Linked DNA regions of Neodiprion lecontei. The protein of the gene in region 2 interacts with the protein of the main gene of each other region in a pairwise test. Links are inferred from orthologs where the notes say so. Each region holds a gene or a part of one and is shown on either strand. Other genes may lie near its edges.

Region 1 (3,758 bases), on a different chromosome or scaffold from region 2:
CATACGTATAGTTAAAAATTTGGTAATTTATGGTAAAACTGTGACATCGAATTACGATTCTTGGTATACACCGGATTCCCGGAGTCGAAAAATCCAATCTGAAAACCCAAAGTTTTTCTGATTCGTTTTTGCGATGATATAGATATATTTGCACGACGATAGTGAACGTATGAGAATTAGAATCGCGTTATAGAAATCCAGCATGAGTGAAAGGTGCGGAGATCTCTACGTAATGACTATGTAGAATCTTTATTAACTTAACTCGCTGCAAATCCAAGGTATTTACTTTAAGTAGTGTAAGATGTAAGGTTTTATCCGTGACATTTGACGGCAATAATGTAATGCCGCAAAAGCGTGAATAACGTAGAATTACGCGGACATTTCACCATTACGACCAATGCGCGTTGTATGCAAATTAATCGATTTACCGATGATTCGTACACATACACCATACACGTTAATCGCATAGCCCTATTTTTCATGCACGCAGAATTATTAATAAATCAACGAAGTTTAAAAGAAATTCCCGCCATCGATTCGAGTTCAAAGTATAATAAAAATAATGTAAGAATGCTTTTGGTAGCATCAAATGACGTCACGCACATGGAGATGTGAGTGACAATCAACATAAAACCTGCTCAGTGTTATACCTATATATGCACACCCGAGTGTATGGTCGATGACTTAATGGTTCCTGCACTTATTACATGCCTGTATATTATTTCCAGCAGTATTATTATTAAGCTTTGGGCAAACACGAGATCTTGACGATATTACGCAACACAACCAGAGGTGTATTAATCAAGCTGCCTGCAGACGACCGTTTGAACAGACGAAACGACAGGAATATGCGGGCAACTAAATGCTCCCGATATCGATCACATGCAGGTTGTTCATTTGCAGGAGCTGCCGGATACGCCGCAATCATGCTCCGAAGGGTCAGATGGGTGGTTCAAGTCGACGAAAAACCGATCGAACACGTGCCCGTCGATGACCAAATCGCCACGACGAAAGGTATTTATCATTCGTCATCTGATGATGCTTACCAGAAAACGTACAAATGCATCGTCTGTACATCTATATCTGTGTATATTTGACTGTATCAAAGAAATGGACTGTTTTTGGTTTTCAAAAATTCGAGTCGAAAATATTGTTCCAAATGGCGAAAAAAGAATGCTGTCCAAGTTTCAGCTCTTAACACTAATATTTAGAGGTGAAACTTGGACGGCATTCTTTTTTCGCCACTTGAAACGATATTTTCGACTCGAATTTTTGAAAACCAAAAACAGTCCATTTTTTTGATACAGTCTAATCTACAGGGTGACAACCCCGAAGAGTTTTGGGAGACTTTCAACGGAAAAAGTGAGAAAAATGTCCATTCCACTTGAAAAAGTTGTCAGAATTATTTTCACCGCTTCAGTGAATATGTGCACTTAATGACTGTTTTTTTTCCCTTCTGTCTTGTTCTTTAAACGAATGCACGAATTCTCACGAGGAAGTTCAATTACAAATAATGATCACACGCGAGTAATTCGTGATTAAACAAAACATCGTGATTTCTCCAGAAAAAAAACGTATAAATGTTGAGATTATCATCAAAAAATTTTTTTTTAAATTTTCAATTTCTGAAATTTTTCTTTTTAAAATAAAACAAAGTATATAAATAGTATGTATCAAAGTTATTGCGGATGAAAAAATAGACAAGGTTGATCATCGAGCGATGGGACGTGGAAAAAAATGACGTCAATCGGAAAAAAATTGATTTTTGGTGAAAAAAGTGATTAGTTGCCGGTACTGTATTATCTCTGGACTGTGTTAGGAGCAGTTAGGAGATTCAGCGTGTTGAGAAATCCCCTCCCAAGCTGCGAGACTACACATATATAGGACTCGAGGCGCACGCAAGCGGTTTCGCTCGTAGTTCGGACGGCCGCCGATAGATGGCTACCGGTCGACCGCTCGCTCGCCGATGAAGTTTTGCAATTTTTTGTATAATGCTTGGATACTTTCAGAGTGTAGTATCGCTTCTCGGCCTATGGCTAAGATCAAAGTGTAGTATCTGTTCTTATCAGCTTAATATCTGATACGCTCCCCATTGGGGAGCCAGAATATTAAACTGGTTTTTGGAATTAGACCGGATGTCTGGGGCTTGCTCCGGTCCGGTCACGGGTCGACTCGACATTGCAGTGCCGTCGAGACTGGCCCACCTTATACAATACAATCATAAATAGTAGAGACGGTAATTCGTATGAGTCGTCATCATTGAGTCAAGATTCAAGAGTATTGCTTTATACCCATGACATGACTTGTTCGATTTCGAACGTCTGCGAGACGATCACTCCTGTAGTAGTTAATTATAAGATCTTTTGCGTTTCTACGTTGTAATATACAGCAGTAAAGTAGATGGGTAGATACTTAACTACAATATAATGTCAAAGTTGGTATAAACGTTGACCTAAACGAAACGAAACGAAAACGAAAAAACTATGCATGTTTACAATTTGTTAAGAAATCATACGAAATTGACAAACTTATATTAGTGAGGGAGCTTTCGCGGTGTAGAATAACATCATTTTCACAAATTATTTATTTTCTTTTAGATTGAAATTTTGAATCAAACAAACAAAAAAAATTTTTATTTTGAAGACGTTTGTTTGATTCAAAATTTCAATCTAAAAGAAAATAAATAATTTGTGAAAATGATGTTATTCTGCACCGCGAAAGCTCCCTCACTAATATAACTTTGTCAATTGTGTTTTACGAGTTATTTTGAATTATTTTAAGCTATTCCAAAGGTTCGACGTAAAGAGTTATTCTAAAAATGCATCTTTACGTACTTCAATCGCAGTGTTAAAAATGTTTTCAATGATAAAATAGTTGCGAGAAGAAGACAGAATACAACCTATGCACACGACGTATATTTCTAGTGATTACCAAAGATAAGTCAGAACTTACAGTATTCGTGAAACTATATTATCCAATTCAACTTCTGTATTACACGTAACTTCCTCATTGAATTCCATTAATCGATTCGCGTTGAAAATTTCTACTACTGCGAATATCAACAGAAGTTGAAAAATTTCGTACGATTTCTAACAAAACTGTGAACACGCATAGTTTTTTCCAACGAATTATTGATTTTCGTCAAAAAATTCTAGTACCTTGTACATTTGTCTTACCGAAAAAATACTAATTTTCATGCAAAGTCTGCAAATTTAAAAATTGTACGAAAATTTCCCAATTTTCCTTAAAAAAAAAAAAAAAAAAAAATTCGCAGTAGATCGTAGAAATGATTTTCACCGTGGAGAACTTGACGGCGGGCAAACGGTGTAAAATATTCAAGGCCCGTTGGAACGTGGGGTATAATACGCCCGACGTCGACGCGGGTCGAATCGACTCTCTGATCGTCAGTGCGACGGCGCCTCGACGACGAACTCGCATGGCATCCCCGACGCCTGCAGGGCACTTGGCAGTTTCGCGATTTTCGCCGCCGCATGCGGTCGCCTCGTTTTCCGAAATTTCAACCCCGGCGCTGACGGGATGCGGAAATGACCGTCGATCGAGCAAATTACACAGCTTTGCATGAGACGCGCGACCCTCCTGCGACTTTCTTATCTTCCTTCGTTAATACTCGCTGCTTAGTTTGTGTTGCAAATGATTGCACGCACCCATGTAGTCCGGTAAAAATAGGTCTGAACTAAAACTGTTTGGGATGAGTGGAATTTTTTTTTTTTTTTTGTACAGAGAATTTCGATCTGAAG
Region 2 (3,758 bases):
ACAGCATACTTATTAGGATACAGAAATGGTAACTGAACTTACATCTTCTGATTTGAATATACGGCGACAGGTAACACATTCGTAGTCTGTTATAATTTCAATTATATGATCAGTTTCGTCTGACCCAGCTGTAATGGAAACACATGTATTAGTATAAAAAACTTCATCTGTAACAGTAACTTACTAAGTCATTGATATTTACATTGCTCATTTAAAAAAATATCTGATCAACTTTAGTAGTAAAGAACTACTTGACAATGTTATCGAATATGGGATGCTCATCATTGTAAGTAAATCAGATTCGAAAACTACTTGTGACGTCATTCGCAAAAGCCATCTCAAATTCTAGAATCCCACTTTGTGTGACACATAGAATAACTGATATTTTTTGCATGTTTTTGAGTCAATTATTATTGAAGAATTAATTGTATCCAATTTTTTGCCTAATAACTTATTACCATTTCAAAGGAGCCGCCTTTCGTGTTATTAAATAAAAATTCTACGTCAATGTATATTATGATGTCAATGTACATTAGTACGCATGTATTGAATTATATACGTATACATAATAATTGTTTGAGGTGCTAAAAATACACTCATTTTATCCTTACACTGTCCGTTGAGTAGTTCAATCTCCTCCTGAGCATCTGCAGCCTGTATGGCATTTTCGTTTTGTGAGTCGCCTACAATAGAAATCAAACAGGTGTTGAACAGATGGTTAGTTTACCCGTCTATCGTAGAAAATTTTATTTGTATTACAGAAAAGATACGTAGTAATAGAATAACAGTATTAACAATCACTTTCGGCAACTACGCCACTACATACCAAACAATAGTTCAACAGCCTCCTCGACATTCCCTGACGGGACGGGATGTTCTATCTTTACGATTTCTGTAACAGACAACATGTATAATGGCGTGAATTCGTCGATTTAACCAAAATATACGTATGAACGAAAGGCACCGATTGGTAATCATCGGGGACGGGTAATTACCTATAACACGCGGCATGCTTTCAGTCTAACGGGAGAGAATCTCCCTGACATCCGACGCAGCGATGATCAATGGTTTTCCAGATCTCTTTACTTGCAACCTCGCACTACGATACCTGTGATCTAGACGTTGCTCAGCGTGTTTGTTTCATGTACAAAACACTTTATTATCCTAAATCTAAACAGCAATACCAGTTTGTGTTTCAGTTTGGAATAAATAATGTGTCAATATTAAAGTAAGACTGGGAAAAAATGTATAAACACGAACATTTGCCCCTGATGGAACGTCCACCTTGGGACACGACGCATTACAAAATGGCCTACATAAAGGGGCACGCCTTTGTGAAGCAAAGATTCTCAATTCCGAAGATATTTTGATGAAAATAACATGAGCCAAAAGGGAATTTTATTTTCAAATGCTATAACCATCGTTAATTTTATAAGAAATATCGTATTTTTCTTTATCGCTAAGCTTTTTTTCACAATTCAATTCGAGTTTGTAATGTTGGCTGCCCTGCGCGTGACGAGAGGAAGGCATTTCAGTGGAGGAAGATCACGTGGTTATAGATCTGATCACGTGATCCGTCGCCAACAGCAACCGATACGTATACAACATCGCCCTGTCAAATCTATTTCAACATTTGAAACGTCGTATTTTATTTCCATAATATATAATAGAAAATGACGGAAGACGTAAAGCCGGAAGTAATTAAAAAAACTCAAGATATTCTCGGGAAATATTTTAAAAAACCACCACTCACGGAAAAATTGTTAAAGAAACCACCTTTTAGATTTCTACATGATATAGTCTCATCGGTAATACTGTTAGTTAATATTACGCGCTTTTTTACATTTAATTCATTTTTCATAATTGCTCACCCTTATTTAAAATAAAAACTTTGAAATTATTCTGCTAATTTATTGTGCTTAACGTTCTTATAATGTTAAAGGTAATTAGAGAAACTGGATTTCTCGATGGTCTTTTTACAGAAGATGAATTGAATTCCGAAAATATAAAAGACAAAGACTCCAAGCTTGCGTATTTAACAAAACTGATTGACGTTGTGAGTAAGTGAAACGAAGACACAAATTATCTAGATGGTCATATTTTTCCTGATTATTCTAGATAGCTAACATAATAAGTTAAACATTTCAGAGTTGATTACTGGAAATAACCTCATGGTACGACCCAGTAAGATCATCGCTGGACATGAACCCACTCGAACCAATGAGTTACTGCAAGCGATTGGAAAAGCCCTTGACAAAAAGGTATTCACAATAATTTCTAGTTATTCGTAAAATGGTAAACCCAATGTTCAAAATGGTATCACTGTGTAATTGTTTATCTTTCACAATAGATCAGCAGCGCAGAAGCAATAGAGCACTATAAAAATAGTAATGGTAGATCTAAGGGGCCAGTGAAATCAAAACTGGTTGCTAAAGATGAGTCTAAGAAGCCAGTGTCTAGACAGTCTTCACAATCTAGAAAACCAGTGGAAAAAGAGAAGCCTCCGATTGATCAAAAGAAAAAGTCTACAAGCACCAGCAAAAATGCACCCAAAGAAGTTAAAACCCGTGCTGAGAATAGACGAGAAAAACTACACGAACAGGAAAAAGAGAATAAAGCAAAAAATAAGGGTGGGGATAAAAAAGAAAAGATCGTTGAAATTCCTTCTGCTGAGGTAAAGAGATGTTGATATAGGAGTTAGAGTAGATAATCTATTTTAGATATAGGTTGAGCGTCGTATTTTGTTTACCTTTTGTATCGTAGAGCCTTTTCTTTTTTTACTTTGATCGATAAGAAAGTATTTTCTTCCATTGTTTTGAACACCGCCATGACGATTTTATAAAAGATTTAGTCATTTGACAAACATATTATCCATAACTCTTGTAATGTCGCCCAATGATTGTATAACTAAATTATTTTTAGTCCAAGGAAGAAAAACGGCCATCTTCGGTGAGGCGACAAAGACGCTCAGCGTCAGTTCAACCCAAGGAAGATCCTTCATCACCAAGAACGTTAGACTCCCCAAAAACCAAACCTGCTTTATCAGATTCAACAAATTCACCTACTCATAAAATGACGGAATCTTCGTTGCGTAACACCAACTCGCCGATAGACAAGCAAGTAAAATCGCAACAAGGTAATAACCAAACGGAACAACCGCCTGATAGAATATCAGAACCAGAAACAAGACAATCTGCTGAAATAAGGGGAAAAACAAGCGCGAATGATGATGGTTCTCGTAGAAGCTCACATTCTGATGGTAGGACAAAGAGAAGTGCAGAAAAAAACTCAGCTCCCTTAGAAGGTGAATCGAAACCGAAATCTTCAGCTGGGAACAAAGTAAGAGAAGCAAGTAGCCTGCTGTCACCAAATCATAAATCATCGAAATCAGATACAGTACCAAACAAATTACAAAAACAGTATACGTTTGAGCATCCAGGTTCTCCACCACCAAAGCCTGCAGGTCCCCCAGACGATTCTGCAAATACAGCAATGTCAGTCTAATAAGTATATAGTTCAATATTAATGAATAGCTCGATAGTGTTTTTATAATCTGGTAATGAAACGAAAACAATGTTTGTAAAGTTTTCAAACTATTACTGTGGTTTGCTTATAGAGTTCCTGAGACGACAGTAGTGAGATCAAAAACTTCACTGCGTCCTCCCAGTGCCAGGCCAATGAGCGCTAGACCTGCAGCTCCTAGGATGCGATCAAAAACTGAATTCATTTTAAATGAAGATATAACGTAATCCTAAGGA
Region 3 (3,758 bases), about 23 Mb from region 2:
CGCTGACATTACGTGCTGTGAGAGCCGCACTAGTACATATAAACACCAACTGGAAAAAAAATGTTTCACTTGCTGTTATTGTTATTAAAGTTGTTGGACAGTAATATTTTTCTTACTACAAACGTAACTGATAATGAATTGTCGGGTAAATTATAGTTATTTGACAGAAATATTAATGCTAAGGATAACGGAAATCTAATAACTTACAAGCTGTCTATTTTATCCAAATATGATATAAAATTGTTCAATTCAGGCTCAAGGGATGGAAATATTGCAGCCATTGTAGCTCTAACTTCTTCGTTAACTTGTCTTTCCAACTTTTTACTGGCAGTAGAATTTGCTGATCCGGGACTTGTTGCTCCATTGCTAATACTATCAGTCTCGTCCGCTTCAGTTCCCTTTTAACAATTAATCACCTCACGCATTATATACTGATCAATTGCTATATTATAACTAATAGAAGCAACTAACGATATACCTGTGATTCAACGAAATGTAAGTAAAGAAATATTTTGTACCTTCACGGGCGACAGAACCGAGTCAAGCTGGAAAAACGAAACGCAAAAAGCTTGTTCAGCGAGACAGACAGGCTGCAATTGAGAAAGAGCTCTATCTAGAACAGAATCTAAGAGGGCTCCCTCTCCTTGAGGAGCCCAAACCTCCCCACCCAAGAGACAAAGAGGCGCTGGACTAACCAAGTCATCCCCTTTTTGTCCACTAGATTTCGATGTATTGGCTGTGAATATATGTAAGATGCACAACAAAATGTTTACTTTTGCGTATATACTATGGCTGAATTTATGTAAGGTTATATATACCCACCATTAAGTTTTTTGCTAGTAACGCGAGTTTTTGCTTCCTCAAAAAATAGCTTTAGGTCTCTCTGGTATAATTTGCTCATGGTGCCAGTGTACACTTTTGTTAATTGAGTGAATGCTTTGTTATCCAAAGCTCTGAGTAATCTCATCAATTCGGTGTATGGTTCTAGTTCACGATGTACAGCTTGATGCGTAGGCAGCGTAAGATCTGTTGTCGAGGTTGAGGCTTCGCCTGTGTCATTGCCCTGAAAATCAAGTCAAGTAAGATAATGGTTACAGACTATTGCCTAAAGCAATATACGGCAAGAAAGAGAAAATAGAGACAAACCAAGTGTATGAATAGATTGTTCAGATGCCTGGCTACAATCAAAGAGAATTTAGCTCTAAGTTTGTCCAGACGCCGACGTTGTTCCGAAGCAGCTCCTAATTTATCAAGACCAGGAGGTAAAGGAACAGATGTAGCTTTCAATAAAGCTACTCCTGCTCGTCCGAGCTCTTCTCTACCTCCTGGAAGTTCTGCTTCGCTCAATGTGCGTTGGTGTTCTGCTGGTATATCCAGTTGTGTCTAGTTGAGTAAAAATTCGAAAGGTGAGTGGGAAAATCTGTAGATTGTAGAATACTCAGGCAGAATCCTTGTAGTTACACACTTACAATTACAGCGTCAAGCTGTTCGAGGAGAAGTCTAGCGTTGTGATTAGCCGTATGAATGGCTTGGTTTTTTTGACCAACTCTAGCCATTGCATCTCTGATTCTACCAAGTGCCTCGTCATAGACAGCAAGACGTGATTCTACTAAGGATGCTTCGGTAATAGCAGCCTCGATACCATTCATTAATTGAATTACTTGAGGCTCGGAAACTAGGACCGATTGTACATTTTGCTATTGAAGTAAGAAATATTCACATTTATTAACATGTTTTATCTTTACTGATTATTTGGTGCCTTAAAAATTGAGAATATCTTACCCCATCTAATATCGATAGATCTTTAGAGAGTGTTTCCATAAAACGTTCTGCATCTGAGACTGCATAGTCACAACTTGCCATCAACGATGCTAGATACGTAGCCTCCTTGTCAGTAATTGGTTGATAATCTGCAGATACAGGTTGAGACAACAAATCTGAAAAAATTCAATATACATAATGATACATGTATCTTTCTGAACAACAGCATCAAGGTTGTTTGAAAATTATTTACCCGGTGTGAAAATAATGCTGTCGCTTTCTTTAAGAGATGCAGGATCGATCATCCAATCACTGGGTATATTTTTAAACTCAGGTCTTTGCGGCATGCTACAAGAATATGTGTATAAATTCCGTATGAACGTTGTTCTTTCTTGAGCGTAGGTGGCTGTCCATTTATAGACCTTATCGATGTATATTTCCAGGTCCAGCGAGTCAATATTGACACCATCAACCATTTGTATATCAGTCAGAGGCCAGGACTGTTTTTTCTTGTAGACATTCTTGTCATTTTTTTTAACTTGGCAAAGCAATAGTGAGCCTGGGGTGTCAGTTGTTCTAACGATACATAAAAAGCTAGTCTTTTTTTTTTTAAAAGCCTTACAAACATGACAGAGACTAAGCAATTGCTGATCGGCTGGCGCAAACAGTTCTCGTTTTAGCGCATGTTTTATCACAGCCATTGCATCAACAAATTTTATTTAATTATTCAGGTTTTCTTTATTATTCAAGCATCAGTGATGACTGGCTTTTGTGGTCGGTCTAGCAGCTCTTCCGTCTGAAATGTGAGGAATAATTTAATATATCGAATCACTGACAAGGTTAGAGTGCTTTAAATTAAATTGCTTGTTGTGGCTCATGTTCTTACAGAAGAGAAACTATGACTCGTGTGAGTGGTTTTTTAAAGTTTGGTTAGAATCACCAGATTCACAGACTTGTAGGTCAAAGAACTGACCACAATCATTGTGCTATTATTGAGTCTTATGCAACACTGTGCGCTGCTTGGAGTTGGATAAGAAACCTTGGGAAAATAGTGATTGGTGGTCTGAAAAGAGTGCCAGCGATTCCATAGATGAAACTTGTCTTTCGGATATGCGTACGTACTCGGTGTATTTTCTGAAAATCATCATTCCAACCTCGAAATTAACATTTTATTACCTAAGAATTAAGATAGTGTTACCAGGCTCCTGAAACACTGCCAGTTATTTCACAACGCTTCGTATATCATCACACAATTGATTGCAACCAATTTTTTTTGTTCTTTGAGGCTGCAACTGTCATTTGACAGCCCACATCGAGGCTTTGAGGGCGTAAACAGGAATCTAGCTATATTCTGGAGCGCAGGCGTGAGCTTAGAATTTTTTATTTCGTGTAGCTCTACATTTGTTTGATGCGTTATGTGTTGCAGCTATTAGGCGCAAATTCATTGCATTTCTCAAGTAAAAATGAAACAGAAATTTGATATTATGTACTGAGTTATCGTTGCTACCTGCATAGGTTGAAATTGCATTTGGCGTGGTTGAAATTTTATAATCCGAATAATACATTATTTACTAAATGTATTTTCAGTTCTAGAAAAGAACTAAATACTCAAAAGTTCAATGCCCTATATTCACAAAATTCCAAATTCACAAATTATATCTTACTTCGAATATATGCCTGATTGTTGAATGAGAATAGTACAGTTGAAATTTTGAGTCGTATTAACAAAATTATACTTGTAGCGTGTCAGAGCATCCAAAGCGCCTGCAGATATGCAACTCAACTTTCTCTCGTGGAAGAAACGCTATTGTTGCCATCGGATAGGCTCATTGGATTTTTAGCATCTGTATTATATAATATCGATACATTTTCCCATGCCGTACTTTCACGAAATCATCCGTTGTATGTATAGTAGCGATTGCATAATGATGAATGCTACGTATTTCTGACCGAGTATAGATTGATTACGGTATCATGTAGATTAGGTCTGTTGCGTG

The links.
Region 1: the proteins of TRAF3-interacting protein 1 (region 2) and dystrophin, isoforms A/C/F/G/H interact in a two-hybrid assay, tested with the Homo sapiens proteins (2 studies listed by BioGRID and IntAct). The link is inferred for Neodiprion lecontei from reciprocal best matches to the Homo sapiens genes TRAF3IP1 and DMD.
Region 3: the proteins of TRAF3-interacting protein 1 (region 2) and exocyst complex component 1 interact in a two-hybrid assay, tested with the Homo sapiens proteins (2 studies listed by BioGRID and IntAct). The link is inferred for Neodiprion lecontei from reciprocal best matches to the Homo sapiens genes TRAF3IP1 and EXOC1.

The regions. Positions count from the first base shown.
Region 1 is NC_060266.1:24,307,984-24,311,741, reverse strand, and holds the start of dystrophin, isoforms A/C/F/G/H, read left to right. Parts: upstream 1-911; 5' UTR 912-926; coding exon 927-1,014; intron 1,015-2,017; exon of another isoform or gene 2,018-2,209; intron 2,210-3,758. UniProt on the Homo sapiens protein: Anchors the extracellular matrix to the cytoskeleton via F-actin. Ligand for dystroglycan.
Region 2 is NC_060263.1:6,633,898-6,637,655, reverse strand, and holds the start of TRAF3-interacting protein 1, read left to right. Parts: upstream 1-1,543; 5' UTR 1,544-1,673; coding exon 1,674-1,808; intron 1,809-1,941; exon of another isoform or gene 1,942-1,942; coding exon 1,943-2,060; intron 2,061-2,148; coding exon 2,149-2,261; intron 2,262-2,350; coding exon 2,351-2,674; intron 2,675-2,922; coding exon 2,923-3,494; coding exon of another isoform or gene 3,495-3,507; intron 3,508-3,616; coding exon 3,617-3,745; intron 3,746-3,758. Other genes in the region: zinc finger protein 2, read right to left, coding at 43-128, 597-683, 827-892, 996-1,011.
Region 3 is NC_060263.1:29,176,130-29,179,887, forward strand, and holds the start of exocyst complex component 1, read right to left. Parts: upstream 2,463-3,758; coding exon 2,015-2,462; intron 1,938-2,014; coding exon 1,783-1,937; intron 1,698-1,782; coding exon 1,470-1,697; intron 1,384-1,469; coding exon 1,147-1,383; intron 1,064-1,146; coding exon 823-1,063; intron 737-822; coding exon 519-736; intron 399-518; coding exon 208-398; intron 50-207; coding exon 1-49.